Sus scrofa: one gene and its partner. The protein of the gene in region 1 purifies or fractionates together with the protein of each later gene. This does not show direct contact. Links are inferred from orthologs where the notes say so. Each region holds a gene or a part of one and is shown on either strand. Other genes may lie near its edges. The genes, in order: MTF2 and JARID2.

Region 1 (15,393 bases):
ACCATGGCCTCCCCACTTAAAACTTAAAGGTATCATTTTGGTGGTAGCTGCGCTGGATATATTACCTTGCAGTGGTTGCTTGATCCTGACCCCACTTAGGGCTAACAATGAATGAATATTGAGAACTGCTACCATTTTGTTTTAAACGTCTTTGTTTCTGGAGTTTTTGTGATGTGAGGTACTTGTTACTTTTTTTCCCCTAAATTTAAGATTTTTAATAAAGAAAAATTTTTGATTAATACATGAAATACATTATTGATATAAAATAACCTCTATAAGGAAATTAGTCTCATATATGGCTTTTTATTTCTTAAACAGAGACTCTACAGGGGCAGGTAATTCACTGGTCCACAAGCGGTCTCCTTTACGCCGAAACCAAAAGACCCCAGCATCCTTGACCAAGCTGTCTTTACAGGATGGACATAAAGTCAAAAAGCCAGCATGTAAATTTGAAGAGGGTCAGGATGTCCTAGCTAGATGGTCAGATGGCTTGTTTTATCTTGGAACTATCAAAAAGGCAAGTTCCTTAATGTATCTTTTTTTTTTTTTTTTTTTTTTTTGCAGTTAACTTTTAATAATCTTGAATTTAAATTTAAATTTTAGTTTTTTTGCTTTTAAAAGAAATCTTCATAAGTTTCCCTCTGTTTTTCAGATAAACATATTGAAACAGAGCTGCTTCATCATATTTGAAGACAGTTCTAAATCCTGGGTTCTCTGGAAGGACATTCAAACAGGCAGGTGCTACTATTTCTCTTGGACATGATTTTCACTAAAACTGTATTTTCTTCAGCTTGTCATTTTCTAGTGTTGTCTGTTTAGTACAGTGTATTAGGATAACTCAGAATCAGTTTTGAGGAGAGGCTAAATCAGTATTCTTCATAGTCTTCAAAGAGTTATAATCTGTATTATAAACCATAAGAACAAGAATTACTGGTAGATTAGAGGGCAGATGTATACATTCTGATGCACATGTATAAATTCTTGTTAGGACCTTTCTAAGAACTTTGAAAAAAAATTTTTAGCTACTAAAACAAGTAACACTTTGGACTTCATCTTAACTGTTACTTTCCTCTATTAGTCTAAAGTGGTATAGGGAGCTAATGTATATAGAACATACTATTTGCCAGATGTTTTGGGGAATTAGGACTTATTAAATAGGTTTAGAGTACTAGAAATATTCATTAATAATAGTGGTTTAAAATTATTGCTTAATTACTCTTTTATGTTTAGATGGGAAAACGAGGTTATATTTAGGTGCAAGTAAAAATGAATACAAGTATGTTGTGGTTTGGTTTAGGTATGTTTCTTGTAATGCTTTTTATTTTTGCAAACTGTAATTGCTGAATGCCCTTTGAATCTGCTAAATAAAAGTGTTTTTTTCAGGTATCTTTCATGGAGAGTGCTTTATATATTTAAAAATTATGAATATTAATAAGTATTCACAATCTGAGTATTTTAACAGCATGCTAAAAACCCCACTTTTGGTATTCCCCCTTTTTTTTTTTTTTTTTTTTTTTGTCTTTTTGCCATTTCTTGGGCCGATCCCACGGCATATGGAGGTTCCCAGGCTAGGGGTTGAATCGGAGCTGTAGCTGCCAGCCTACGCCAGAGCCACAGCGACGCGGGATCCGAGCCGCGTCTGCAACCTACACCACAGCTCACGGCAACGCCGGATCGTTAACCCACTGAGCAAGGGCAGGGATCGAACCCGCCACCTCATTGTTCCTAGTCGGATTCGTTAACCACTGCGCCACGACGGGAACTCCTGGTATTCCTTTTAATGGGTTAATGGGCCTGCACTAAGGTGTTTTTATATTTCCTCTTGTAGAAAGGAGAGATAAATTCTTTAAAGTATCTATCGGTTGGGTTTTGTTTTTTTTTGTTTGTTTGTTTTTTTGTTTTTTGTTTTTTTTGCCTCTTCTAGAGCCATACCCACAGCATATGGAGGTTCCCAGGCTAGGGGTTGAATCGATGCTGTAGCCGCTGGCCTACGCCAGAGCCACAGCAACGCAGGATGTGAGCCACGTCTGCAACCTACACCACAGCTCATAGCAACTCGGGATCCTTAACCCACTGAGCAAGGCCAGGGAGCGAACCCGAAACCTCATGATTCCAGTGGGATTCATTAGCCACTGAGCCACGATGGGAACTCCCAGTTGGGTTTTTAATTCGAATCCCAGTGTGGCTTTTTGGTAGGTTATAGCTGTGTTCTATTTCTTGATTTCACTCTTACTTTTTCTTAGAGAATGAAAAAGTTTTGGTATAAAGGAATTGGCATGTTCTAATTGCCGTCTTTATACATGTCACTCAGGGATTAGGTGGAGAACTCAATAGCTGTTACTCTAGTAATATGTCTTAAAAGTGTTTATAGTTCTTGAGGCTGATCAATTTAAAGGACTAAATTTATGTTTTGAATCTCAAATTGAAGGATCTGTGAGAAAAGGAATAGGAGGTCTCCAGCAGTAGTGATATTGAACAGATCTTATTCCCCTGTACACAGAACTATCCCTTTTCCTTAATTTGTAAATATGTGTCTCTGGTGGAGCTGAGCCATGTTATACTGCTTCTCTTCCTCTTCTGTTAGCTATGTGTTCCTTTCAGCATTTCAACTGTTTGGTGGTTTCTGTAGTTAAATAGAGGTTTGTCTGTTTTTCTGTCTTCTTCCCTCCCTCCCTTCCAGAAAGGAAAAAGAAAGCCAGTAGTACATAGAGATAGAAAGTGAGGGGGTCTTGTCCAACTTGTGTCCTATCCAGTATATCAGTTCAGTGGTCTGTATTGTTCTTGCCTCACTGGCTCCTTTTACTGTCCTTAGAATTAGATAGAATAGCCCCTTGGCCATTTCACTCTTTGTAACTCGCAGGAAATAGCACACTTGTGACTTGGAGTTTGTGTAGAACAGACAAGTGCATTGCATTGTGGCAGGTTTCAGTGCATGGTGTAGTTTTAGTAGTTTTCTTCCTGTAAGGAACCTGCTAATAGTTACATACCAGAATAACTTAATTAATTTCACTCATCTAATAAGATTCTTTTTAAAAGTTTACATGAATGGCAACAATTTATAGGCATATTAGTAGACAAAGAAGTGTGCATTGCAGCAGGGAGATATCATGTTAAAGCTGTTAAATAAATTTATAAAAAGATTTTAATCTTAATACCTAATACTGTTATGGTTTCTGTGAAAATGATACACTGCTGGTGGCAGTGTATTTAAATATTTATTTCAGGTATTACTTTGACAGTTGCACTAAATGCATAAAAATTTATATGCTTTCATTATACAGCAGACTCATTTGTAGCAGTTTATTCCAATAAATCATAAATAAAATGTATAAAAATTTACTGTAGTTTATTTTAACAGCAAAAAATTTGGCATATCTAAGATAGAAATGGCTTTATAGTCATTTGGATTTAGAGTAAGGGAGACTATAGAAAGCTGCTAAGCTACAAAGAAAGTTTTTTTAAACTTGATGGTCAAAAACTCATATTGGATTTATAAGTAAAGGCAATTCTCTGCTTCCTCAGGATTGTTTCCTGAAGGAATACATGTTGTTTGTTGACTCTACACCCTCTTTTCTGAGGAACTGCCTTCCCCCACACCATTCCATATGTTTAAGTGGGAGTCACTTCAGGCACTTACCCCAGCTTGGGGCTATTGGCCCTTTTCTAGGATGTTGGAGATTTGGACTGAGAGGGTCTAGGCTCAGTCTGGTTACTCTCCTGATTGGAGCCATAAACTGAGAAACTAGGGGATGCTATATCCAGCCAAGTGAACAAAGCCTGGGAGAGAAGAGAAGAGAGAACAAGAAACAAAGCAAAAAAGGAAAAATGCAAAAAACAAGAAAAAAAAATATGGTAGCCTGCATATCTAAGAATAGAGGTGTAGTAAATCAAATTTGGTTCTTTCCACCGGATAGACTATTATACAGGTATTAGAAGTTAATAGTTTTTGAAAACTATAGTGTGAAATGCTTTTGATGGAAAAAAAATTTTTTTTTTCTTGTTAGCTTTTTAGGACTACATCTGAGGCATATGAAAGTTCCAGGCTAGGGGCTGAATCTGAGCTGTAGCCACTAGCCTACACCACAGCCACAGTGAACATGGGATCTGAGCCGCGTCTGTGACGAACACCGCAGCTCATGGCAGCACTGGATCCTTCACCCACTGAATGAGGACAGGGATGGAACCTGCATCCTCATGGATCCTAGTCGGGTTTGTTACTCCCTTGATGGAAGAAATATTGCATAGTATTAATGGAAGGAAACATCTCACAATGGAGAGACTATGGATACTGGTGCATCTGAATTTGAATCTTAACCTTGATATTCTGTGACTGAGGGTCCTTGGGTTAGTTACTTTTATTTTTCTGAGCCTTAATTCTTCTCTATAAACGGGATATTTATCTAATAAGTTGGAGAGTTAAAATAATATGTATCAAGAGCGTAACAATGCTTGGTTCACAGCACAGAATTTAAATTTTTACTGTTGATATGTGAATAAAGCATGTGTGTTAGTATTTTAACTATAAAATTGAAATTGATAAGAGAATATTGGAAATAATTGTGTTAGAGTGATAAAATTATATTCTAAATTTTGCAGAATAAAATTGTTTTTAGAATAGAAATATTTAAAGAAGAAACAACCTAACCTATTCAGGTAAAAAATGTAATTAGTAACTGTGGAACCTCTAACTTTTGTTACAGTGGGATTTGGTTTAGGGTCTGTTACTGGACATCATATATCCAGGTTTCTGAAGCAAGAGTTCAAATAATTGATGTTCAACCTTTTTTACAATTAGTAAATAAGAAATGTTTTGCATCGAGAGAGAAAGGAGTCATTGATAGATCTTCCTTGCCTCTTTTCTTTAGTCTCATGATGTTAGGCGGTGTAGGGTGAGTGAATACATGTACATGGGTATGTGTGTGTGATCTGAAGAGTAGTTCTGTTCACCAGTATCCCCTTTGCTCACCCCCCAGGAGAGTGGGAATATTGGAAGTGAGTGGTAGGGGATCCTGCCTGAGAGCAGTTTAAATTACGTCCTCTCCCAAAAAACAGATTCAATCACGAATGTAGATAGTAGGCATCTTAAGTTAAAGGTGGGAAGAACACATATCGGGAGCAGAGAGATAGTATTTTGTATACAGTACTTTGCCTTGAGAAGATACCCTTATGATCTAGTGAACAGACATTGCTAGCATTGGCTACTTACAGACTCAAAAAAGTAGTTTTGTTATATGGAACAATTCTGTCTTTTTAATGGATGTTGACTGTCTTTTTAATGTATATTTAAAATATTTTAGGAGCCACTGGAAGTGGGGAAATGGTCTGTACAATATGTCAAGAAGAATATTCAGAAGCTCCCAATGAAATGGTTATATGTGATAAGTGTGGCCAAGGTAAATGTTAATTGCTTTTAATCTTGTGGAAAAGTTTTGTTATATACCTAACACCTCTGTTAGAGATGAATGATTAAAAATTCTTTACATTGTAACTTAAAGCTGTCATGATAAGTTTGTTCGTCATTGTAAATATGTTAATGTAGGAAAAGAATATTAAAATGGCTTCTTAAAATTATGTTGCAGTATTTATTAATAAAATAGAATTTGCTTTATGCTTTTTTTGATATTAAGGATATCATCAGTTGTGTCACACACCTCATATTGATTCCAGTGTGATTGATTCAGATGAAAAATGGCTCTGTCGACAGTGTGTTTTTGCAACAACAACAAAGGTATCTTTTAAGTGTTTTGGGCTAATGCCCTAAATGGAATTTGTAAGGCACTATCAACGTAATGATTGTGTACGTTGAAAGTTTATTTGAGTGAAATGAGCAATCAGTGCTGGGTAGAAAGAGGTGCTGCTTATTGTTTGACTAATGAAGCTTAAGTGACTTGCAGCTATTCTTGCACTTATTTTATGATAGTGATCTTGGTATTGGGGCAGTAGTTTGAAAGAAAAGACAACAAAATAGAGGTTATTATTGGTCAAACAGTTTGTGATATGGTAAGAAATTTAGAGTGGAAAATTCTTGAGAAGTTTCAGAAGTGTTTGAAGATTGTAGAATTGTATTTAAAATTTTATCCTTCACTCTTTTAAATAACTTTTTCCCTCTAATATAGAGGGGTGGTGCACTTAAGAAAGGACCAAATGCCAAAGCATTGCAAGTCATGAAGCAGACATTACCCTATAGTGTGGCAGATCTTGAATGGGATGCAGGTCATAAAACCAATGTCCAGCAATGTTACTGCTATTGTGGAGGCCCTGGAGAGTAAGTAAATACACTTATTTGATGCCCTTAGATTAATTTTTAATTGCTTACATTGTCTGGTTTATTTTTGCTACTGATTGTGGTGGGTGAGTGATAGTGAATTGTAAATGCATGAAAGTATCAATAAAGAGAATGGGAGGGATTAGAAGCTGTAGTTTTATTCATCTTTATCATTGAATGTTTGCTAAATAAGAGTTCTAAGAATGTTTAGAAATTTACTTTTTTTAAAAATTTGAAAAAAAATTTTTTTTGACTGCACCCATGGCGTTTGGAATTTCCTGGGTTAGGGATTGAATTTGAGTGGCAACGCTGGATCCTTTAACCCACTGTGCCAGACTGGGGATCGAATGCACGCCTCCACAGCGACCCAACCCACTGCAGTCTGATTCTTAACCTCCTGTGCTGCAACAGGAACTCCTTAGAAACTGATCGTTAACTTCTTTTTTTTTTTTTAAAATGATTTTTATTTTTTCCATCATAGCTGGTTTACAGTGTGCTGTCAATTTTCTACTGAATAGCAAGGTGACCCAGTCACACATACATATATACATTCTTTTTCTCACATTATCATGATCCATCATAAGTGACTAGACATAGTTCCTGTTGCTATACAGCAGGATCTCATTGTTTATCCTATAAACTTACTTTTGAAATAGAGTGTCATGATTAGAAAATGCAGTGTTTCTACTAGACTGACAGTGTATAATGAAGCTATTAGAGTTCTGGATATTATGTTTTTGTTGCAAAGAAAGTTTGTATTACCTCTCTTTGGTCATCCTATCATGTTCTTTTGGCTCAGTTTGGGTTTGTAGGTGGTTAAATAAAATCTTTAGTTCTTTTTTTCATACAAGTTGATATTAAGTCAAATTGTGCATCATGTATTTGTACTACATTTTTTAAAATGTTAGTGAATAACTTTACATTTAACTCTATTTAAATTGTAGTTATTGGTTCTTGAATCTTCCTTATCAGACTCCGCGCTTCTCTTAAGACAGGGGGCTGTCTAGGAGAATGCTGGGACATATAAGGTATTCAGTGATGAAAACATGAATAAATGAATATATAAATGAATGAATTTTTAGTTCTTCATTCTACCTTGTCTCTGATCTTATGGAATTTTTATTTGTGGTTTAACCTTTCTATAGCATTTCTCAGTTTTTGGTCACCTGTAGATTAAAGAAGCATTCTGTCTGGTTTCTTTAAGTCACTTATAAAAGATACAGTGAACCTAGATATTGATCTTTTTCCTTTTTTCACTTATACTTAGCATTTTAATTTATAGGCATTATTTTATGAAACAGATTGCTCATTGTTCTTTACCATAACTACATGAACTATTTGATATTGCTAGCACTTTAACTTTAGCACCTAACAGAGTACCTGGAACATAGTATTTGTTGTCTTGATGAATCAAAGACCTTAGTAGTAGTTGTTTTGGCTTTGCCTGTATATGGCTTAAAATTAATGTGGGGCTCACTTATTGAGCAAAAGAATTATTTGAATAAAAGGTGTTTTTGGGGTGGCAAATAAGGTATTAATATATTAAAACCACGTACTAACTTAAAAGATAGGATATCCTTAGCTGAAGATTCAGTTTTAGGCATCTTGAACTATCTGAAAGAGAAAGTCTGTCACAAAGCCTTTATACCTGGTAGAATCTTAGATTGGATTTATAGTTATGTTAACCAAATTTATTAAATTGCTATACTCCTTTTCATTATAATGAGCAAGAATAATAGAAACACAGTGAAGGCATAAAGTTGCCTATGATCCTTTGTTTTATGGGACAAATAGCTCTATACATCAGAGACCACTGAGGCAATCAATGTGAAAAAAAATCCCATGCTTGACAAAGATCTTTTACTAGTGTAGGAACCAGGCACTTGTTGACTAGAAATAATAGATGTACTTTTCAAGAGCTTATAAATTCTCATGAATAAAAGAGAGGAGGGATGAAATGGTCAATATTAATAACCTTTTGAGGGAGAAAAAATATGACAATAAATATACCAGAAATGTGTTACTGTAATTATAACTATATTCTGCATGTCACTTTTGTCAATTTTTTTTTTTTTTAAATACTTTACCTCTTAAAGGTAGTAATTTTAATCTTAAATTTTTCCTTCTAGCTGGTATTTAAAGATGCTGCAATGCTGCAAATGTAAGCAGTGGTTTCATGAAGCTTGTGTGCAATGTCTTCAAAAGCCAATGCTATTTGGAGACAGGTGAGAAGAGCATTTGAGCTTTATCGATTTTTTTTTTTTTTTTTTTTTAGCTTTTAAAAAATTGTGGTAGGAGTTCCCATCATGGTGCAGTGGTTAACGAATCCGACTAGGAACAATGAGGTTGTGGGTTCGGTCCCTGGCCTTGCTCAGTGGGTTAAGGATCCGGCATTGCTGTGAGCTGTGGTATAGGTCGCAGACGCGGCTCGGATCCCGCGTTGCTGTGGCTCTGGCATAGGCTGGCAGCTACAGCTCCGATTCGACCCCTAGCCTGGGAACCTCCATATGCCGTGGAAGCGGCCCAAGAAATGGCAAAAAGACAAAAAAAAAAAAAATATTGTGGTATGTTTGCATTTTCACATTTCTCAAAGTTTTAATAGTGATTTGTAAAGGTTCATCTTAGAAGTAAAATATGGAATAATACACGTATGGAGTTCCTGTGTGGCTCAGTGGATTAAGGATCTGGTGGTATTACTGCAAGTGGCTTGAGTTGCTGCTGTGGCGTGGGTTCACTTCCTGGCCTGGGAACTTTCACCTGCTATGAGTGCAGACAAAAAAAATAAATAAGTACTGAATAATATACTTAAATTATACATAATTTTTAAAAAACATAATTTTTGTGTTTTTGGGTATTGTTACAGAAAACTTAAGTATTTGATCAGTGATTATACTTGCTCCTACTGCCCCGCAGTACTCTGAAGTATTCTCATTGGTACTTTCTCTTAAAAAATCTTAAAGGAATCCTGTGACAGAAAATTGGAAAAGGCCACAAAATGTTGATGCACACAATTTATACCTTAGGTCTAAAGTATTTCTAGAGGTTGATCTGATGTTTTTTGGATTAGAAGAATGTGAAATAGAGTTCTAGGAAGAAAACCTGCAGAGAGAGCACTAAATATGACATCAAAAACCTTGGGTTTTATTTTTATTATTTTGTCTTTTTATGCCTGCATATGAAAGTTCCTGTGCTAGAGGTCAAATCAACAATATCAAATCTGGGTTGCATCCAGTTTGCAGCAATACTGGATCCTTGACCCACTGTGTGAAGCCAGGGATCGAACTCGCATCCTCATGGACACTGTGTTGGGTTCTTAACCCATTGAGCCACAATGAGAACTCCAGACCCTGGGTTTTAAATCTTAGCTTATGTCACTTATTATCTTTCTGACCTTAGGAAGGTCAGTTTGTCTCCTCTGGGCTTATTTTACCAGATTATTCTGAGCAATGAACGTGGAAACAGCCATTGCAGTTCTTAGTCCACACATGCCACTTGCAAACTCTTCCTGTGCAGAAATCTGTGTGAACTCTGAAAGTCTTTAATGGTTAAAAAATAGTGCTTCTTCCCCTCCCAGATACAAACTATTTAATTATTTGTCATTACTGGGAAAGAAATTCTTTAAATGATAGTGTCATGATTGAGATTATATTTTGACTTTGTATGTCAGCCCTTATGTCAATTGTAGGGTACGCATTTGCTGAATATTTTAATTAAATGATTATATGTACTCTTTTTTTTTTTTTTTTTTTTTTTTTTTTGCTTTTTAGGTGGCCCTGCAGCATATGGAGGTTCCCAGGCTAGAGGTCAAATCGGAGCTGTAGCCACTGGCCTACACCACAGCCACAGCAATCCCATATCCGAGCTACATCTGTGACCTACACCACAGCTCACAGCAACGCCAGATCTTAACCCGCTGAGCAAGGCCAGGGATCAAATCTGCGTCCTCATAGATCCTAGGCAGATTTGTTTCCGCTGAGCCAGGACGGGAACTCCAGTTCACATGTAGTCTTGATTATTCATTGTGTACTTTTCTTTTCTTTAGGTTTTATACATTTATTTGCTCTGTCTGCAGTTCGGGACCAGAATACCTCAAACGTCTACCATTACAGTGGTAAGTACCGACATTTCTATTAGGAACAAAAAGAGCCATATTTTATGAAACTTTCTGTATACATTTACATGGCTTAAATAAAGATTTGTCCTTTTTTATGCCTGGCTTTCTTTCTTTCCCTGTATTTATCCTCAAGCCTAATGTCTTCCCCAAGGATATCTAGTTTTATTGCTAAAGTAATAAGGTCAGTCAGTTTCTAATGGCATAAAATGTCACTTTCAAATTTTTTAGATCTTGAAAATTCTTACTCAAATTTCTAGTCCTTTTGGGTCTTCAGAATAGCATACAGTAGAAGAGAGAAAATGTCTTATAATGCAAAAAAATTTTCTGCCTCAGTTAAGTAATGCTGGGTATGGGAAGTAAAATGAATAAAATTTTGGAGATTTACTGAAAATGTGTATGGTACATACTTAGACATTTTTGTTAAATGTTTTACATATTTTAGGAAAAGATAAGATTTAACTTCTGAATCAGATAAAAAAGTCTGTTAAAGTATGATCCACTTTGTAGCTTATATATAGTAGTGAAAACACGAAATTTTAGGTTATAAGTTATTTTTTCTTAAAGTCAGATATTCTTTAAGTGCATTTTAAGAAATCAGATATCTTTTAATTTTTAGTTAGTATTCAGGTTAAGTTAAATGTTAATGTTTTTCATATGTAATGATTTATTGTGCATATGACTTATGATATTAACGCTCTGTTTGCCTGAATACTTCACTTTGGATTTTTTTAATTGCTGGGTTTGTGAAAATACTGTGTAATTTTTAAACAGTAACAAAAAACATTGCTTTTGTATATTTTGATTTTTTTTTTTTTGGATTCCAGGGTAGATATAGCACACCTATGCCTTTACAACCTAAGTGTTATTCACAAGAAGAAATACTTTGATTCTGAACTTGAGCTTATGACATACATTAATGAAAACTGGGATAGATTGCACCCTGGAGAGGTAGGTAGTTTTAGAGCTAACTTCATTAGCTACTTGATGTCTTTTTTGGTTTTTTTGTGTTTCTTAAAAGCTACTAAGACACTTATGTAAGCCATACATCTAAAGTAGCGTTTTACTTTTAGTTAGGGAGAAATAATTTTGGTAAGGCTGTCAGGATCAGCCCTCATTTCCTGTTGACTGTTGACTTGAGGGGGGAAAAAATGTAGAAGGAAGTAATGTACTGGATTTTTCCATTTTCTGAAGTGAAAAATCACTATAGTTAAAGATAGAAGGGAGGGAAGTTCCTGTTGTGGTGCAGCAGAAATGAATCTGACTGGTAACCTTAAGGTTGCAGGTTTGACCCCTGCCTCGCTCAGTGGGTTAAGGATCCAGCGTTGCGGTGGTGTAGGGTGCAGATGTGGCTTGGATCCTGCATTGCTGTGCTGGTGGCTATAGCTCCGATTTGATCCCATATACCATGGGTACGGCCCTAAAAAGCAAAAAAAAAGGAAAAAAAAAATAGAAGGGAGGGTATCTTACTTATGATTTCTCTTTCTTTTTGTCTGAGTTTTCTATAAATTTAGAGATGTAACCAGCAGTCTTCTTTCCTCTCTTGTTGGTATTCCCTTATATATATCTTTGACTTTCAGAAATAGTGAGACCCAGAAGCAGAGTTAGAATAACAAGTTAAAGGGGTTACCTTGTGGCACAGTTGGTTAAGGATCTGGCTTTGTCACTTTATCCTGGTTAAGGATAAGGCTTAGGTTGCTGCTCTGGTGCAGGCGTGATCCCTGGCCTGGGAACTTCCACATTTTTGGGAGTATGGGTGTGGCCAAAAAAAGAAGAAGAATAAGTAGTTGGAGAGTTGAAGCTATCTGAGTTGAGTCGGAGATTACCACTCTCATTCTGGCATCTCGTTTTGCTTTTCATTTTGGGAAGTGTAACCACTTATGCTGGTTTACAGAGTCATTTTTTTTTTTTAAAGAGTATAAAAGTTAATGCATGTTCATTGAAGGTTTTGAATCTACAGAGTAGCACAAAAAAGAAACTAACTAGAATAACATTAATATTTACCTTATTTTTAGCACTTATTTAGAGTTATTAAAATACAAATATTGACTACTCTTAGGTTAACTAAAATATTTGTTTTATAATATGTGGAATTAGATGTGTGACTCTTAGTTATGTATTACTTTTCGAGGTAAATATTATGTAAACTGATGTGAAATTTAGGAAGGATTATTGAATTTGTAGCTCTTAGACATGAGGCAGTTTATGAGGTTTACATCAAATAAAATACCAAGGATTTTTTTTGTCGTCTTGGGGTTTTATGGGGCATCAGGGAGCACATAATGCCCATTTATTTAAAAGTTAGTAGTAGATTATTTGCATAAAATTAAAACAAATACCTTTGGAATATTTAGATTTTAAAATCAGTTGAGCTAAGATGTTTTGACTTTGAGTTAGAAATTGGAATATAATTCTCTTGTTAAGTTTTCTGCTAAAAGCTTCTTTTTTTTAGATGACATTTGAGAGCAAGTGAATGACTTGTACACTTGATAAATTTTAATAAACTGATTAATAATGGAAAAAAGAAGTATGCACCTGACTATTGTGTTCTTTATAGCCTTTTTAATTTTATTTATTTTATTTTTATTTTTTGTCTTATTAGGGCCACACCCACGGCATATGGCGGTTCCCAGGCTAGGGGTCGAATCGGAGCTGTAGCTGCCAGCCTATGCCGGGAGCCACAGCAACACCAGATCTGAGCCGTGTCTGCAGTCTACTATGCCACAGCTCACAGCAATGCTGGATCCTCAACCCACTGAGTGAGGCCAGGGATAGAACCCGCAACCTCATGGTTCCTATTTGAATTCGTTTCTGCTATGCCACGACAGGAACTCCATATAGTCATCTTAGTATTTAATGTTCTCATACATTTATTTGAAATTCTTTCTTTCTAGTTACGGTTCTTTCAGCACTTCATATGCAGATCATCTCTGTTCTTGTTAGTATACTTTATATTTTACATGATTTAATTCTGCACTGATTACTTCACATTGTCAGGGAACATGCATATAAAAACTAAAGTTGTTTTATGCTTAAAATGCTATCTTAAATATTTAGAGTTTATTAAAGAGGCTGAAAATAAAAATAATAGTCATAATTAGTCTTTTAAAGAAGTGAGTTCAGTTTATGAATTTCATGTATCTCAGTTCTCCTGAGCTTCTGATATATATCAGAAAAAGTTTTATTTCAGCAATAGATACATTTTTATCCTCTGTAACCAACGAGAGAATGTCTTAGAAGTAAGAGATTTCAGTTTCTTATTCTGTGTCAAAATAGAAAAGTGTACCTCTTTTTATTTAAAAATTAAGAAAAACGTGATTAATTTAACTTTACAACAGAAAAGTTTTCTGAAGATTATTTCCATTTTGAGGGTGGGCATCAAATTTATTATCAGAACAAGTGACTTCCCAATAACTTTTCATCGCTTTCTTTGCATTAAAAAAAAAATCAGAATTCTTAGCTTAGTTATCTCATCTTCAGAAGAGTTATTTACAGATGGAAGTCCAGGTTTTAATTCTCTATGTGAATATTTTACATCTTAATATTGTAGTTGTAATTGGCTTTTGAGTGAGATTTTAAAGATAAAGAGACTTAAAGTTTGTGTTAGTAATATTTCTTTGATTTTTATTTACTTTACTTTTAAATGTTTATAGTAATAGAAACAAAAATAATACAAAAAATGTATTATTCCAAATTATTAAGGTAGTAAATCTTGGTTAATTGAAATTGAGTTGCAAGTTGAATTTTGTCACTAACTCAAAATCAGGTTAACAAAATTTTCTTTTTGTTTATACTTGTATTCAAAATCTTCTTAAAAAGTAACATTAATTACAGTTGTCCCATGATACCCATGGGAGATTGATTCTAGACCCCCTTTGGATACCAAAATCTGAGAATACTCTAGTCCCTCACATAAAATGATGTGGTATAGTTGGCCCTTCATATCTGATTGATTTTTCACCATTGGAACCCATGGATACTGAAGGCCAACTGTATTTTCAAAACATGTGTGTTACTGTATGTACATTATAGGCATACCTCAGAGATAACAGGTTTTAGTTCCAGGCCACTACAAAAAGGCAAATCACAGTAAAGCGAATCAGGATTGTTTGATTTCCTGGTGCATATAAAAGTTACAATTGCACTACACCGTAGTCTGTTAAGTGTGCAATAGCATCATGTCAAAAAAAAAAAAAAAACCAATATACATACCTTAATTTGAATATAATGCTATTGCAAAAATGGTGCTGATAGACTCGCTTGAGGCAGGGTTGCCATGACCCTTTAGTTTGTAAAAAACACAGTATCTGTGACATGCAATCAAGTGAGGTTCGATGAAGGGAGGTATGCCTGTATTGATTGAGTTGGAATACTCAAGTTCATTTGAACATTGATTCTTGTAATTCATACTATAGATTATATGACAGAGACATTTTAGAGTGTGTTTGAGAGAGTCCAGTTGACTCTTGAAGAACATGGGGTTGGGGCACAAACCCTCTGCAGCTGAAAATGGTTATGTGACTAGAGCTGACCTGCCCTTCTGCAGTTCTTCACCCCAGATTCAACCAGCCACAGTGTACTACTGTAGTGTAGGTGTTTAGTGAAAAAAAGAGCTGTGCATGAGTGGACTCACGTAATTCAAACCCTTGTTGTTCAGGGGTCAACTATATATCCTTTCATTCCAAAAAGATGAAACATTAATGTACCATGTGTCTTGTTTTTAATTGATTATTTTCAGGATTGCTATGAAGAGAAGCTGAAACTTGTAGAACATATTAGAACATAGTGCTAACTTTATACCGTTTCTTTTTTTCTTTTTTTTTTGTCTTTTTTTTTGCTATTTCTTTGGGTTGCTCCCGCGGCATATGGAGGTTCCCAGGCTAGGGGTCGAATCGGAGCTGTAGCCGCCGGCCTACGCCAGAGCCACAGCGCAGGATCCGAGCCGCATCTGCAACCTATACCACAGCTCACAGCAGTGCTGGATCCTTAACCCACTGAGCAAGGGCAGGGATTGAAC
Region 2 (15,393 bases), on another chromosome or scaffold:
ATCTTTTCAGCTGCAGAAAAGATGGAGGCCCAAAGAATACATGGATACGATGGATTTTTTTCTGTTGGCCTAAAAGAAAAGATGAGTGATTGTATGGAGTGGGGCTGGGGGCGCTGCTGCTGAGACGTGGCTTTGTCCTGCTTGGTCCGTGCACCGAGAACTTGCGCTTCATGCTAGGACAGTCCCTCCCGTGACTTCCCACGGTGCAGGGTGCGAGATCTTGTGAACGCCCAGGCCTCTGGGACTCAGAGCACGTGCACCCCTTGAGCGGGGCCTCAGCGGCCCCCCGGCCTTTATTCTGCCAAGGGCTCTCTCTGCCAGGTGACATGTGTGTGGCGCTGTCGGGAGTGGCTGCCCTGACGCGGCGTGGGTGTGCGGTAGGAGCCTTGCACGCAGCAGGAGACAGCTGAGAGCAGTGGAGCACCTGTTCTTACACCCGGGGAAGGTTTGCAGACACGAGGAGGGCAGTGCCTGGAAGTGAGAGGCCGGCTGAGCCCTGATGCGGACCGTTAGGCCACGCCCGACAGGTTCGCCTACCTGCTGTCCTCTTTAACTGAGGCTGAGCCGTGACGGGAAGAAGAAAATGACGGCTCGTGTGGGCTGTGGTACCGAGGGGAAGGCTCTCACAGGCACATGCATGGGGGTTGAGGAAAGTCCTGGACGAGTAAGAGGAAGAGAGGAGGTTTAGCTCTTCAGACCAAAGAATGAGGCGTATTCTGTAACCTTCTAGAAAATGAAACAGGAGTATCCAGAGAGAAACATGTGAGACTCTCCTGCCTAGAAGTTCAAGGTCTTGCTCCATCTGCTCTTCATCGGGTCACGTGGGGAGTTTGCCTTGTGCGTCGGTGGTGTGGTATTTGTGACTCAGTTTAGTGGCCTTCAGAGAGAGCACGTGTAGAGAGTTTCAGGGGCTCCGACCAGGACCTAGGTGTTCCTTTTGGAGAGCAGGGCTGAGCGTCAGCTTTGTGCCTCTGCTCACCAACTTCCATCTTGGACCTCTCTCTAGCCTGGGGGCTGTCAACCAGCAGGTGTGCCCTCCCCATCCACAACTCACTGCCTGTCCATTGGCTTCTATTGATTCAGGCTCTTTGGCACTGTCCCCAGCCAACAGTGTCTCTCTAGGGCTCCATAGCTTCTGCTTTGAAAGGATGGGCAGAGCCATCTGACTCAATGGCTCCCTCTAGTGGGAAATGGGAGCTTGATAGTTGAATTTCTGGTTGAACTGTGGGCAGCTTCCATGCCTAGGAGGGTTTGCTGTAAAGCCTGGTGGCCTATGTGCCTGGTGTAACCTGAGCTACAGGAGACGGGGTGGTGGTGGGCCAAGAACAAGCCGAAGACACCCCACTTCTTGCAGAGCCGGGTGACAGTTGTGGGGAGTGGGGCACAAAGTTACAATATTTATATACCTGAAGGTTTTTTAAATATCTTAAAGTAAAATATATTATGAGTAAAAATATTCATAAGGCCCAGGGTCAAGTTCAGGAATGGACAGTGAGAAAGAAAGTAAAGAATAATGATTTCTCTTTGTTAATGATTTTTCAAAACTTTTGAGTCTATTAAAAAATCCCTGAGTAAACTGAACTGAGAGGCAAATTCCCATTGTAAATAGTTCTTAAGAAGAAGGTCTTCCATTCAGAGTAGATTGGAATTGTGCACTCGTCTGACCAGCACATCCTAGATGGCTTGGGCTGAGACAGAATAAGAACAAGGAGAGCCAGAGCACAGACAACACAAGCGCTCCCTTATTGGGTGACGGGGTGTCTGTGGCTGTCCCATGGATGTTGAGACAGAGGGGAGGCAAAGGACAGGAGGAGGTGCCCGCTTCTGTGGATGTAATTGTCATTGAGAAATCCATACCGGAGCCGAGAGGGCGCAGTTGGAGGAGCAGGGGAGGGCTCTGCGTGGGCCTCCTGCCTCCTTTGTTGGTGTCCATCCTCCAGTGAACTGCAGTCGTCCTCCTCCCGTGCTCAGTGTCAGCATTTCCTTAGGACGCGCGGCAGACCAGGCCCCGTGGCTGAGTGACCTGGGCGTGTGTTGAGGTGAAACCTAGTGTTTGGTCCTCCTCTGCGAGGCAGTGGTTCGGGGAGATGCTCGGTGGGAAGATGAAACCGTGCCTTCCTCCACTCCGGAGGCTGCAGTGGTACCAATTAAACGTTGCACAAGTGCAGGCCACGGAATGGAACAGGGACCTCTGTTTACAGAAATACGTAAACAAGAAGGTGATCTTTCTGCCATTAAGGGTGGTGAAATAGTCTGGAATTGGCATTTGCAAGCTCCCCAGGGGTTCACAGGGGTCCCAGGTTTGAGAAGCACCAGACCTAAACCTCGGCAAGACATCCTGGCTGACGGTGGACTCTGCTGGCAGGAGGTGGTGTCCAGGTGGCTGAAGTGAGTGTGGCCAGATCCCGGTCAGGTTTAGTCTCAATGGTTAACCTCAGACCCAGGGCCCTGGGCGGGTTCATTCGTCTCTGAAAATGTGGATCCCTGAACACCGGGCTGATGGGACACTGTGAGCCTCAGCAGGAGTTTACTGTTTGCTTTAGTTTTTTTAAACAGATTGTTTTGTTTTTAGTTGGTGGAAGGATTTGAAGGAACAGTTAGAGGCATTTGCATTCCTCCCCATACGTCCCATTCCAAGTTAGTGGTACTTATCATGGAAAGTTTGTCTTTGCCTCTTCTCCTGGTTTTATAAATTTGTTTTTAATTTATTGTTGCCAGGCTACTAGTTTTTTTTGTTTTTTTTTTAACTTACCCGTTGTGTATTCAAGTCTCCTCTTTCCAACTGCTGCTCTCATGGGTGGCCAGCGGAGGTGCATCCAGGCTTTCCAGTTTCTGGGCTTTCCCTTTGCCTCTTGCTCCAGGGGGCCTGGGACCTCACTGAGTCCAGAAGTTGAGGCTGCCTCCCCAGAAACCTGGTCCCCAGACATCTTGGGGTTGGGCCATGGAACCTATCTCACACCAGGAATTCATGGCTTTGATGGGACCGTGTCTACTTGGTGAATGAAGACATACAGGCCTGGGTGGCTTCTTTCTTTTTTTCTATTTTTAGAACTGTCTACTGATAGTTTGCTGCCATAGTTCCAGAGTGGGTCTTTGGGGGAGGCTCAGTGTCACCTGGGACCTCGTTCTGGGACCTGGATTCTCAGGCTCTATCCCAGACCTGCTGGATGGGAGACTCTAGGGGCGGGGCGCAGTGACCTGGGCTGGGACTGGTCTTGGTGCGGAGGTCACTGAGACTCAGGCCCTGAACTCTGGAACCTAGTCCAGGTGGCAGGGCAGTGGCACAGCCCTGGGCGCGTTGGATGTGGACAGGAGCGAACTGTCCCTCTGCGTGAGTGCAGCCAGCCGGCCAACTTCCCTCCTCCTGGGCACCTTCTCCTTGGAGGTCATTGGTGAGAAAAGGTGGTATTGTTTCTGCTCTGTAATTTTCGGTCTGGGAAGTGATGGTGCCTAGGGAACCCTGGCATCCCATCTTTTGAGCTCATGTTACAGGTGAGAAATCGGTGCCCAGGATGGTAAATGACATTTCAAAGGTCACCGAGAGTCTGAGTTGTGATGTGGCATCTGCCCAGCCTAGCCCAGCCATGGCTGTCACTGTAGGCCCAGCATTATTATTTGGAAACTGATTAATGCTTTTCTAGTGTCCACCTTTGTCACTCTGGCTTTTCTTTATAAATAAAGGAGACTTCGGTGTCACTAAATTACTCTGGTGTCCCAAGCTGTGAAGACAGGCTGATCGTTTACCGAATTCCCATAGATTTAAATGTGGGTGTTTGTTGAGGGCGGGAAAACGGGAGCTGCCCGTGCAGAAAGGGGGCCTGTTGGCTTCATCAGAGATGTGAGGTGTGTCCAGCACGCGCCCAGGGGCCCGACTCACAGATGTTGGCAGCTGCACTTCTGGGCGTGGCCTGAGACCAGCGTCTGAGCCACGTGAGTGCTCTCGTTTCTTCCTTTCCATGGCGTTTTGTTTTGTTCTTTATTTAGCATGTAGATTTTTAAATTTTGCTGCTATGTGGAGCACACGAAAAAGAGCAACCGTGTCTTGGAACAGGGGTGTGTGTGTGTCCCCATCTGTCCCCTCAGTGGGCAGGGCCTTGCTATTGTGAATGTCATTAACCGGGGACAGCTGATGGCAGGCACAGGGAGGGTCCTCACTGGGAAACATCTGGTTTCAAACAACCACACATCCAGGAGACCCCCTGGGAGGCACCCGATTGACTGTGTGATTTTGTGCAGGACGATGGCGCATAGTCAGCAAAGATTCTGAAACTAATTCTGCTCTCTCCCCCTCTGCTTCTCCTGTCACCTTCCAGGTTTCTAAGGTCAACGGAGTCACTCGAATGTCATCTCTGGGTACAAGTGCAACCAGTGCCAAAAAGATGCGCGAAGTCAGACCTTCACCGTCCAAAACTGTGAAGTACACTGCAACGGTGACGAAGGGGACTGTCACATACACCAAAGCCAAGAGAGAACTGGTCAAGGAAACCAAACCCAATCACCACAAGCCCAGTTCAGCTGTCAACCACACAATCTCAGGGAAAACTGAAAGTAGCAATGCAAAAACCCGCAAACAGGTGCTATCCCTCGGGGGGGCGTCCAAGTCCACCGGGCACGCCGTCAATGGCCTCAAGGTCAGTGGCAGGTTGAACCCAAAGTCATGCACTAAGGAGGTGGGGGGGCGGCAGCTGCGGGAGGGGCTGCGGAACTCCAAGCGCAGGCTGGAAGAGGCGCCCCCGGCCGACAAGCCGCAGTCACCCCCGAAGAAGATGAAGGGGGCGGCGGGTGCTGCCGAGGGCCCCGGCAGGAAGCCGGCCTCAGCCCAGGCCCCGGCCCCAGCCCCGGCCCCAGCCCCTGCCGAGAAGGCGCCGCCTGGCGGCCACGTGAAGAAGGAGGTGCCCGAGCGGAGCCTGGAGAGGAACCGGCCGAAGCGGGCAGCGGCCGGCAAGGGCCCGCCGGGCAGACAAGCACACAGCAAGCCGGACGCCCCCTGTGAACATCGTTCTACCTCGCAATCGGAGCCCCTGCCCCGGCCGCACGAGGCGGCGGCCAAGGCCGAGAAGGGGGCCGGCCGGGCCGGGTGGGCGGCCATGGACGAGATCCCCGTACTGCGGCCGTCGGCCAAGGAGTTCCACGACCCGCTCGTCTACATCGAGTCGGTGCGCCCTCAGGTGGAGAAGTACGGCATGTGCAGGGTGATCCCGCCCCCGGACTGGCGGCCCGAGTGCAAGCTCAACGACGAGATGCGCTTCGTCACGCAGATCCAGCACATCCACAAGCTGGGCCGGCGCTGGGGCCCCAACGTGCAGCGGCTGGCCTGCATCAAGAAGCACCTCAGATCTCAGGGCATCACCATGGACGAGCTCCCGCTCATAGGTGAGGCGCCAGGCCCCATGTCCTGCCCCAGCACCCCTGGTGGCCGCCCCCACGCCTGCACCAGCTCCATCCTGGCTGGGCTCCTTCTTGGCCCAGGAGGAGTCCAAGGCCGCCTTTCTTTTGGTCCAGGGGGCTCTGGGCAGGAGGAGGGTTGGTCCCAGGCCCCGCCCCTCCCTCCACCCTCACTTTGGGCATCACCTGCAGCAGGGAGCTGCAGGGTCACCAGGCCCAGCAGGATCCAGAGGGAGGGGCAGAACGGTGCATTGCTCTGCTGGGGCTGCCTTAACCCAAGTACTGCACGAGGGGAGGCTTGACCCGCAGGAGGAGGTTCCTCAGTCTGAAGGCTGGACATCTGCGAGCAGTGTGTGGCCAGGCCTCTCTGAGGCGACTTTCCTTGGCTCTCGGCAGTTGTCTTCTGTGTGTTTTCGCGTGGTCTTTGCTCTGTGCACACACTCCTTGTTACCTAGTCCTGTTGGGCTGGGACCCACCCCATGACCTCATCTACTTATGCTTTTAAAGATCTTGGGTCTAAAATACCGTCACCTCTGTGGCATTGAGGTTAGGACTCTGTACAGATGGGGTAGGAGCCAGTTTCTCGTTTTTCAGCTAATTTCTCATTTTTCCTAATGATAACTGCCCAATCGTTTTTCCTGTCCTATCATTTTTCCTAATGATAACTCATTTCAGTTTTTTGGGTGATAACTGGGCCCTCGTTATCAGCTCTGGGAAACCACGTGTAAACTCCTGAGAGCGGGCCCAGCTCTGGCTGGCACCCAGACAAAGCTCACCCCAGAGACTCCTTTTGTAAATGTATACCCGGGTGTCGTGGAGACCCCCGCCCCCTGGCAGAGCCCTCTCACAGCCCCCCTGGAGCTCCCATCTGCCTCTTACAGTCCTGGTTCTCATACCTCCAGGATCGACTCACTCTGTCAGGGAGGAGCGGCCCTGCAGTTGGGTCAGTTGGCTGAGGTCACGCGCTTCTTTCTGGCTCTAGACCTGTGACAGGAACAGGGTGTGTCTTGCCTCTGGTTCGAAGAGCTGGATTTTTCATGGTTAATTTTTTATTTCTATTTTTCTATTTTTTATTTTTACTCTAAGTGGTTGCACCGCGGCATATGGAAGTTCCCAGGCTAGGGATCGAATCAGAGCTTCAGCTGCTGGCTACACTACAGGGACAGCAATGCGGGATCTGAGCCGAGTCTGTGACCTATACTGCAGTTCATGACCACGCCAGATCCTTCAACCCACTGAGTTCGGCCAGGAATCGAACCCTCGTGGATACTTGGGTTCCCAGTGGGAACTCCTGAAAAAGCCTGATTTTTTCAGAGGCAGGGAGCAGAGGAGACATTCTTAGTCATTTATTTAGGTGTCGAGTTTTGGCAGGGGGCAGGGGTTTTTCGTGAGCCGAAGGTTTCGTTATTCCTCTCAGTGGCACGGAGACTCACTCACGTTGCAAGAATTCTTGGTTTTTGGTCCCCTGTTGGCGATGTGATGCATGGTGACCTGGGGCTGTGGGAACAGGCTGAGGATGTGACAGCATCTTGGGAGCTTGGTGCTTTGTTCTCTGCAGTCTCAGCTGGGTGATCCAGACATGCTGGCTCCCCGCCCTGCTAAGGGGATGGTGGGTCTTCTGGGGACAGGCGGACCATTCGGGGACATCATGAGGGCAGCCGGCCATCTTCTGTTGAGAGTAGGTTACCATAACCCTGACTCCCGTGGCACAGAAGCCACGAGGACGTGACACTGTGGTGTGTGTGTTCATGCCTGAGGTGTGAGGCAGCGTCAGCCTCCGGAAGAGGCTCTGAGCTCGGCCTCCCCTCAGTGCAGGGGACCCAGGAGCTGTGCAGGAATTTCCAGCATCCATGGAACGGGTGCGCCTTCTCTGGGAGGGCAGCGCTTGGTCTCGAAGCATCCCCATGGCCCTGAGAGGGGCTTCGTGGCAGCAGGTGAGGCGTGCACTAACGGGTTTGGAGGTACAGTTTCCAGCGCTCTTGGATTACAGCCATCGACTTGGAGAATAAAAACCAAAGTATGGGTTGCCTCCCTTCTGGTCTGAGCTCCTGGGCACAGTGGGCTGACTCAGCTCCTTCTCCACCGTGGCAAGTCCAGGCAATGTGCGGGCAGCCAGGGCCCAGAGCCCCAGAGTCTCAAGCTGTTGGTCCCTCCCCGCCAAGGTCAGGGTGAGTTTCTTCTTTGATGTGGCCCCCACTGCTCCTCTGACCACAGCCAGCCAGTGCCAGCATCCCACCCAGCACAGTAGATGAACTCGGGTTGCTGCTCCATCATACCCTGGCAATGCTGGGAGCCCGGCCTGTGCCAAAGCTCAGCAGCACCAGGTCCTTAACCCATCGCACCCCAGCGGGAACTCCTCATTTATTTTATACAAGTTTATCCTCACTCTCCAAAGATCTGAATATTCTTAATATTTCTTTTGCTTATCTAGCATTTTGTGGTGTATTTACCTCTTAATAGCCAGAAGAGATTTATTCTGAAAGATTCCCCCCCACACCCATTGGCTAAAGGGAGGTTAATTTTCCAGGTCCCATCAAGACAAGTCACTGCAGGCACTCAGACATATTTGGGTTTTGATGTGCTTTGTACGGTTTGATCAAGGGACACTGAAAACCAGCCCACACACCTTCTGGGATAAGCGTTCCTCTGCGTGAGCAGCAGCGGGGAAGCGCTCAGGGACAGGCCGACTGCCGCCTGCCCTCGGGGAAGTACTGCCTGCTGCCTGGAAGTGGGGCAGAGGCGGGGGCTCCTGGCAGGGGGTCGGCCTTCATAGCACAGGCTGTGTGTGTGCGATTTCTGACATCATGTCTGTTCCAGATGCCGCCGCTCCCCAGAGCCTGCTGCCCCACAGGGCTGCCCTGTTCCTTTACCACCACCTGCTTCCTGGGCTGGAGGGGACCTTTTGTAGCTGCCACCCCTACTCTAGGGGACGCTGGACTCCTCCTGCCAGCAGGTCTGTGTGGCCAGCTCGCCTTCCATTCAGGCCTCTGGAAGTGTCCCCTCCTTGGGGTCACCTGCCCTGACTATCCCTCCTAGGACGGTGGCCCCATTACTTGCCAGCCCCTAAGCCTGTCCTGACATTATCCTCCCCGCGCCCAGGATGCTCTAAGCTCCGCCTCTCCATGGACTACGAGACTGTTCATGCTGACCCCAGGGCCCAGCGGCGTCCCTGGCTCGTGGTGGGCACCGTGCACCTGTGGCCTGCCAGGTAACAGAAGGCGCTCTCATTCACGGGCCTCTTCACCCACTGTCCCTGTGTTTTCTCCCCTCGCCGTCCCAGGAGGCTGTGAGCTCGACCTGGCCTGCTTTTTCCGGCTGATTAACGAGATGGGCGGCATGCAGCAAGTGACTGACCTCAAAAAGTGGAACAAACTAGCAGACATGCTGCGCATCCCCAAAACCGCCCAGGACCGGCTGGCCAAGCTCCAGGAGGCCTACTGCCAGTACCTGCTCTCCTACGACTCCCTGTCCCCCGAGGAGCACCGGCGCCTGGAGAAGGAGGTGCTCATGGAGAAGGAGAGCCTGGAGCGGCGCAAGGGGCCCCTGGAGGGCCACACGGAGCAGGACTACAACCGCTTCCACCCGCTGCCCCGCTTCGAGCCCAAGAACGGGCTCATCAACGGCGTGGCCCACAGGAACGGCTTCCGCAGCAAGCTGAAGGAGGTGGGCCCCGCGCAGCTCAAGACGGGCCGGCGGAGACTCTTTGCTCAGGAAAAGGAGGTGGCGAAGGAGGAGGAGGAGGACAAAGGCATCCTCAGCGACTTCCACAAGTGCATATACAAGGTAGGCCGGCGGGCCGGGGCCGCGAGGCCGCAGGTGCCTGGCCGGGCAGGGCTGCAGGCGGCCGGCTCTGGGAGTGGGCCTCACATGGAGAAGGGCCTGCAGTCTCAGGGGCCTGGGCATCAGGACGAGGCCTCTGGGCATCTGGCTGGGGGCAGCGGGGGAGAGGGAGAGGGTGTATGTGCGGCCGCACGCCTGGGCACCACCCTCTCTGCCTGGGCTGGGGCTTTTCGGACGCGCGCTCCGGCCCAGACCCGTGCGGCTCCTTCCCGTCCATCACAGCGGATCTCCGTGGGAACCAGCTGTGTGGGAAGGGTCCCCACTTGAGCCAGGTGGCGCCGCCATCCAGCCACCCCAAGGAAACAGGGTCCTGGTGACTCCCGCTTGGCAGCCTGGCTCTGTGTCAGCAGAACTGCCCCTCTCCGGGCTGGGAGGGGGCAGAGACTGGCCCCCCAGGTGGCTTCTGGAGGCAGCAGGAGGGCGGCAGGAGCACTTTTGGGGTGTTGCCTGAATGTTTGCTCGAGAGTTTATCCTGAAATGAAGCTGCTTGTTAAATCCTGTGATTTCAAAAGGCCAGCTCCTGAAATGAGTTACTTACTCTCTTTTTGTTAGTTTGTTACATTTGCTTTAAGGGCAGTTTTACCAGTAAGGTGTTTTTTTTTTGTTTTTGTTTTTTAAGACGTGCTTTGTAAATAATTTTGGTTCCCATCATGAAAATCTAATTGAATTGGGCTGTTTTGGTGACGGCTGGTGGCCGTGAGGAGTTTGAGGCTCTCCAGGTTCTGAGCCTGGGAACAAAAACTCTGTTTTCATTGACAGAAAATCTGGTCCCTCACGGTCATCACAGGGTTTTTTGTAAGGGGTAGCAAGCACATCAGGAGCAGTTTGGAGCTGTATGCAAGTTTCTCTTTTAGTCAGAACCCGTAACAGAGCTGGAGCGCCTACGCCAAGGGCAGAGGCTGTGAGCTGCTGGTTCTGACTGGCCCTCCAAAGGCAAGAAGATGGCACAGGATCTGCCCCCAGCCTGGGGCTTCTCCAGGGTCTCCTCATTAGGGACGCCTTCCCTGACCCCCTCGGATGAAGGCCACCTGCCTTGCAGCCCTGCCCCCGGCTTCTGGTTCCTGGTCCCTAGTACCCCCACCCGGCTCTTAGGGGGTGTGCTGCCCTCTCTGCAGAGCTGTCCCTGGTACACAGTAGGCCCTCAGCAGCTACTTCCACCATCGTGGGGCACGAAGGTGGGGAGGCTGGGCACCTCCCGGGACTGCCTCGAAAACAGTGTGTGCCCCGGGGTGACATAAGGCTCCTGATCAGGGGCGACAGTAAGCTGAGGGCCTGCGGGAGGACAGGGCTGGCTCCTGTCCCCTGCAGGCCCATGGGGCCAGGCTGCTCATTCGGCGTGCCGGCCGTCAGGGCGGCTGTGGGAGTCACCCCGAGTATCTCTGCTGGGCCCCGGCTCCTTGGACGGCACTGGCGGTCCTTCTCAGAGGCAGCCTTCCCCCGGCTCCGCTGGGGTCCGCTCCGCGCTCTGGCCCGCGGTCACGGCGATAGGACAGGGACACCTGGCGGCTGGCTGGCTGTGGGGTCCCGCCTCCGCTCTCTTTCTTAAGCGCAACCTCATTTCTGCTTTCTTTTCAGGGAAGATCTGTTTCTTTAACGACTTTTTACCGAACAGCTAGAAATATCATGAACATGTGCTTCAGCAAGGAGCCGGCCCCCGCGGAGATCGAGGTGAGTGCGGCCGGGGGGCGTGGGCGGCCCGCCCCGCTGTCCTGGTTTTCACCCCTGCCCATCCGAGCTGTCGAGGTTCCGAAAAGGAATAATCAAGGGAGGGCCCCCCCGCCCCCCCCACACCTCCGGCTTGTCCCCGCCTCGCCCGACCAGAGGCCGCAGCCAGCGGGGCGCTCCCGGCGCGGGCCTGCCCAGCCGCCGCCCTCTCTCGCCCCTTCTCACCCCGGGCCCGGGAGCCTGTTACGCAAGAGAATGTTTGCAATCCCTTGGAACCACAGTTGTGCTTTTTCCTCTCCTATTTTTTATGTAATGGGATTGGCAGGTTGCCATTTTTGTGCTCCTGCCAGCTCTCCTCTTGGAGTTAGCGTGAGGTTGCAGAGCCCAATTAGGGGCTGTGTGAGGCTCGACAGAGGGCCAGGGCCCCGGTCTGTTTGTTTACATCCCCCGGCAGCTCCCAGCCACATGGCCAGAGGCTCCCCGATGCCGTCGGAGGGGGGCCTGTCCAGGGAGAGACGGCTCCTCCCACCACTCCCGCAGGGAGAGGGGAGAGGGGGCCGCAGCCTTGGCTTTTGTGGTGTGCAGCTGCTTTCAGGCCCTGTCATCTCCGAGGAGCTATGCCTCATCCTCCAGGTAAACCCCGAGCTGACCTCCACAGGGCCCAGGCCCTGATCTGACCGGGTTTCCTGGGACTGGGTTTTCTGGACTCAGTCCAGGTTGCCTGGTCCCGGTCCCCCTGCCCTCTGTCTGTGTCATGTGGACCCCCACCTCCGACGGTGGCCATTGGTAGCCCAGGAGGGCCCACTCTAGTGCCAGGTCTGGTTCCCAGGTTGGCGGGGCGCGAGTTTGATTTTAGCCCCCTTGTCGTTCTTCTCAGGCTTCAGGTCTCTGCTGGTGGGCATGGCCTGCCCGAGCTCTGTACCCTGGGCTGTATCTGTGGACAGCATGCAGTGGCCTGACCCCCACCCTGTCCGCCAGTTTTGACCCTGCCAAAGCCACGTTCCATCAACCCTGATATCCACAGGGCTCTGATTCTGGAACACGTGTGGCCACGACAGTTGCTTCTGGAGCGCTCGCGCCATTTGTGGGGGAAACGTCAGAGGAAAGGAACGTGACTCTCGGGGGCTGAACCTCCGAGCTGAAAACGGGACCTTTGTCCTACCCTTTCTAGCACACGTCTTTGTCGGAGTCTCCAGAGGTGCAGGGTTGTTACTTTGCTTGCTGTGAAGAAAGTTTGGCCTGCTTTAGTTTCCTGCTTGAGAATTAATTTTCCTTAAAAGTCTGGGTTTTGCTTTAGCGGTTGCATAGTATTTAAACACAAAGGGAAGGTTTGCTAAAATCCAAACTTTTGGTCTTCGTCTGGCGAACTTCTGGGTCCTGCAGAGAGCTGGGCCTGTCCTTGGCCCGGGGTCACCAGCTGCGCTGCCCCCACCTAGCGATGGTGCCCTTCCTCCCCGCAGAGGTGGCGTGAGTCTCGGCAGACGGTCCGTAGGGCTGGCCTGGCCCTGTCCCCTCGGACTGCTCCCCTGTCCCTTATCTGTAAGGATGTCCTTTTCAGAGACCCATGCCTATGATGCTGTCACTTTTCTTCTCAACGAGGGGCCTCTGGCCACCCCCAGGCTTGTCCCTCTCCGTAGGAGCCGCACAGCAGGGTGGGGGCCGACGCCTGGCGCTCCTGGAGGAGCCTCCTCCCGGAGGGGTTGGCGGAGCCCGGAGGGTGATGCTGCACTTCTGGGATGGTGACAAAACAGGCCCAAGAGGGGCCGCTGAGGGGGCAACCCTGCTACGCTAGCCAGGCCAGTGCTGACCTGCTCTTGCCCTGAGCTTGTTTATTGGATCGTGCCTGTGAGGATGACCTGGTCAGCTTTCGAACCTGGCCCGTGCCCACCCCTCCCCGCCTGTCTCATTGGCTCGGGGCACAGCCTAGAGGTCTGGGGCCTTCCCTTCCCTTGCTGTCCTAGGGTGCAGCTGTCCTGGCCACGCGTGGTTGTCAGGGTTGCCGGTTGTTGGGCTGTTGGGAGGAGTAGGCCATGTGCCCAGAGCCCGCCTGGAGGCGTGTTCCTGCCTCCTCAGGACTGGGGGGTGTCTTCAGCCTCCTTCCCGCTGCTGCCCTCTCTTTCCCTGTCACGCACATGATTTGTAACTGTGGTAAAACAGCGCACATGTCACACCCACCACCTTGGTCATTTTAAGAGTGCAGTTCAGTGGCTTCAGTGGCATTAACGTCCATCCATATTGTTATGTGGCGTCAGCAACCATCTCCAAACTGCGACTCAGCTCCCAGGAACCCGGATCCCAACCCCCACCCCCGACCCTGACCCCGTCCTCCTCCCCAGCCCCTACCCTGACCCCATCCTCCCCCAGCCCCTAGCAACCACAGTTCTTCTTTGTCTCTGACTTTGACTCTGCTCATGGGAGTGGAGTCACGGCGTTTGTCTTTCTGAGATGGGCTTATTTCACTTGCTGTGGTGTCCTCAAGGGTCATCCGTGTTGTGGCGTGTGTCAGAATTTCCCTCCTTTTTGTGACTGAGTCATTTTCTGTCATGGGGATATTGTACTTTTTGTGTGTCTGTTCATCCATCATGGACAAGGGCCGCTTCCAGGTGTGGCTGTCGTGAATGACGCTGCCGTGGCCGTGGCATTACCTCTTTGCAGCGCTGGGCGCCCTCCACTTAGAGGACTGGCCATCTCTCCCACCCTGTGCTCTATGGGAGGCAATGGGCCCTTTGTCGTGCTGTTAGGTCACACCTGGGTCTGTGGCCACGGGCAGCGTGGAGCTGATGGCTCTTCCTGTCCCCGCAGCAAGAGTACTGGAGGCTTGTGGAGGAGAAGGACTGCCACGTGGCTGTGCACTGCGGCAAAGTGGACACCAACACGCACGGCAGCGGCTTCCCGGTGGGGAAATCAGAGCCCTTTTCAAGGTAACGTGGCCCTCCTGCCCACGTCCGGGGCCTGGACAATGTCCCTCCCCGCGGGTCTTGACGCCTCTTTGCTTTGCTCTGCAGACACGGATGGAACCTCACCGTCCTCCCCAATAACACAGGCTCCATCCTGCGTCACCTCGGTGCTGTGCCTGGTAAGGCCCCTGCGGCCCCTCCTTGGGCAGGACTGGAGGGATGGGGTCACGGTGTGCAGAGCGTCAGAGAAAACGGGGGTTTTTAGACGAGAGAGAGGAGGAGGATCCGTGAGAACGTGGAAAGGTGAACCAAATTGCAGAATCTAGCAGCCAAGTTTTCACCTTGAAATTGGTATTTGGGGGCTCCTGCCTCATAGGTAGAAGGGGAAACAGGTGTCTTGGGCTTTGTGGGCGCTGAAAGTGGGGGGCCGTGGAGGAGATACCCCCCGCCCCTGGTGAGACTCCAGACAGAGGGGTCCTGCGTCCTGCCTCCTGCACAGCAGGTGTCCAGGTGGGCACCTGTGTTCTAAGCTGTGGGGTTCATGGCCACAGGGCAGCGGCTCGTTGGGGTCATGGTGCTTGGGCATCTTGCTTCCCACCTTAGGTCAACTAGTTCAATGTGCTTTTGCTACTGCCTTTACTTTTACTTTTTAATTGAAGTGTACAGTAGACGTACAGTCTTAGTTGCAGGTTTATAGCACAGTGATTCAATTGTATATATGTGGAGTCTTTTCCAGACTCTCTTCCCTTGTAGATCATTATGAAACACTGAGTGTAGTTGCCTGTGCTGTACGGGAGGCCCTTGTTGGTTCTCTTTCGTATTTATAGCCGTGGCTATATGTTAATCCCAGCTTCCTAATTCGTCCCTCCCCCACCGTTTCCCTGTAACCGTAAAGTTCACGTTCCGTGTCCCAGTCTGCTTTTGTTCCCGTGTGGAAATAGGTCTAGGTCTTGGTTTCTGCGTAAGTAGCAGGAACAAGCAGGCGCCTTCTCCCTGGGTTTTCCGTCCTGTTTCTTCCTGTTCTTGTTTGGGGAGGAGGTGCGATTTCTGGGGCTGTCACCCTGTGGCCCGGTCTTCAGCACGCCCTGTCCCCTTGTTCCAGGAGTGACAATTCCCTGGCTGAACATCGGCATGGTCTTTTCTACCTCATGCTGGTCTCGAGACCAAAACCACCTTCCCTACATCGACTACTTACACACTGGTGCTGACTGCATTTGGTGAGTCTGCGGCCCGGCGCCCCGCCGCCCCTCCCAGCCTGAGGACTGAGTGGCGCGCGCGGGTCCCACCCGCGATCAGCCGGGGGGCCCCGTGGGAGTCTGGTGGAGGATATTTAACCCACTCAGATGATGCACAAGGTTGGGCATCTTCCCAAGCCTGTCGGGCACGTTCGTTTCGTCAAACGCCTGCTTAAACGGGGTTTGCCTTTTGTGATGTTTTTCCGTTGGTGGTGGTTCATTTCCGAGAGTTCATCTCATAGCGGGGTCGGGACAGTAAGAGGATTGCAGGAAGCTGACCAGGAGTAGTGACCAACCGTGTCATCGGCCACCCCCTTGGCCAGTGTGAACCGTCCCCTCTGGGGCCTCACGTGAGTCTCTCCACGGCCACT

What was found.
Region 2: the proteins of MTF2 (region 1) and JARID2 purify together in Homo sapiens (affinity purification with mass spectrometry; 3 studies listed by BioGRID and IntAct, with this or other methods). This does not show direct contact. The link is inferred for Sus scrofa from reciprocal best matches to the Homo sapiens genes MTF2 and JARID2.

Annotation. Positions count from the first base shown.
Region 1 is NC_010446.5:124,064,323-124,079,715, reverse strand, and holds part of MTF2 (metal-response element-binding transcription factor 2), read left to right. Parts: intron 1-318; coding exon 319-517; intron 518-652; coding exon 653-734; intron 735-5,297; coding exon 5,298-5,393; intron 5,394-5,627; coding exon 5,628-5,728; intron 5,729-6,116; coding exon 6,117-6,265; intron 6,266-8,394; coding exon 8,395-8,490; intron 8,491-10,307; coding exon 10,308-10,376; intron 10,377-11,203; coding exon 11,204-11,327; intron 11,328-15,393. UniProt on the Homo sapiens protein: Polycomb group (PcG) protein that specifically binds histone H3 trimethylated at 'Lys-36' (H3K36me3) and recruits the PRC2 complex, thus enhancing PRC2 H3K27me3 methylation activity.
Region 2 is NC_010449.5:11,575,169-11,590,561, forward strand, and holds part of JARID2 (protein Jumonji), read left to right. Parts: intron 1-4,313; coding exon 4,314-5,373; intron 5,374-8,665; coding exon 8,666-9,168; intron 9,169-10,800; coding exon 10,801-10,893; intron 10,894-13,692; coding exon 13,693-13,811; intron 13,812-13,895; coding exon 13,896-13,966; intron 13,967-14,889; coding exon 14,890-15,004; intron 15,005-15,393.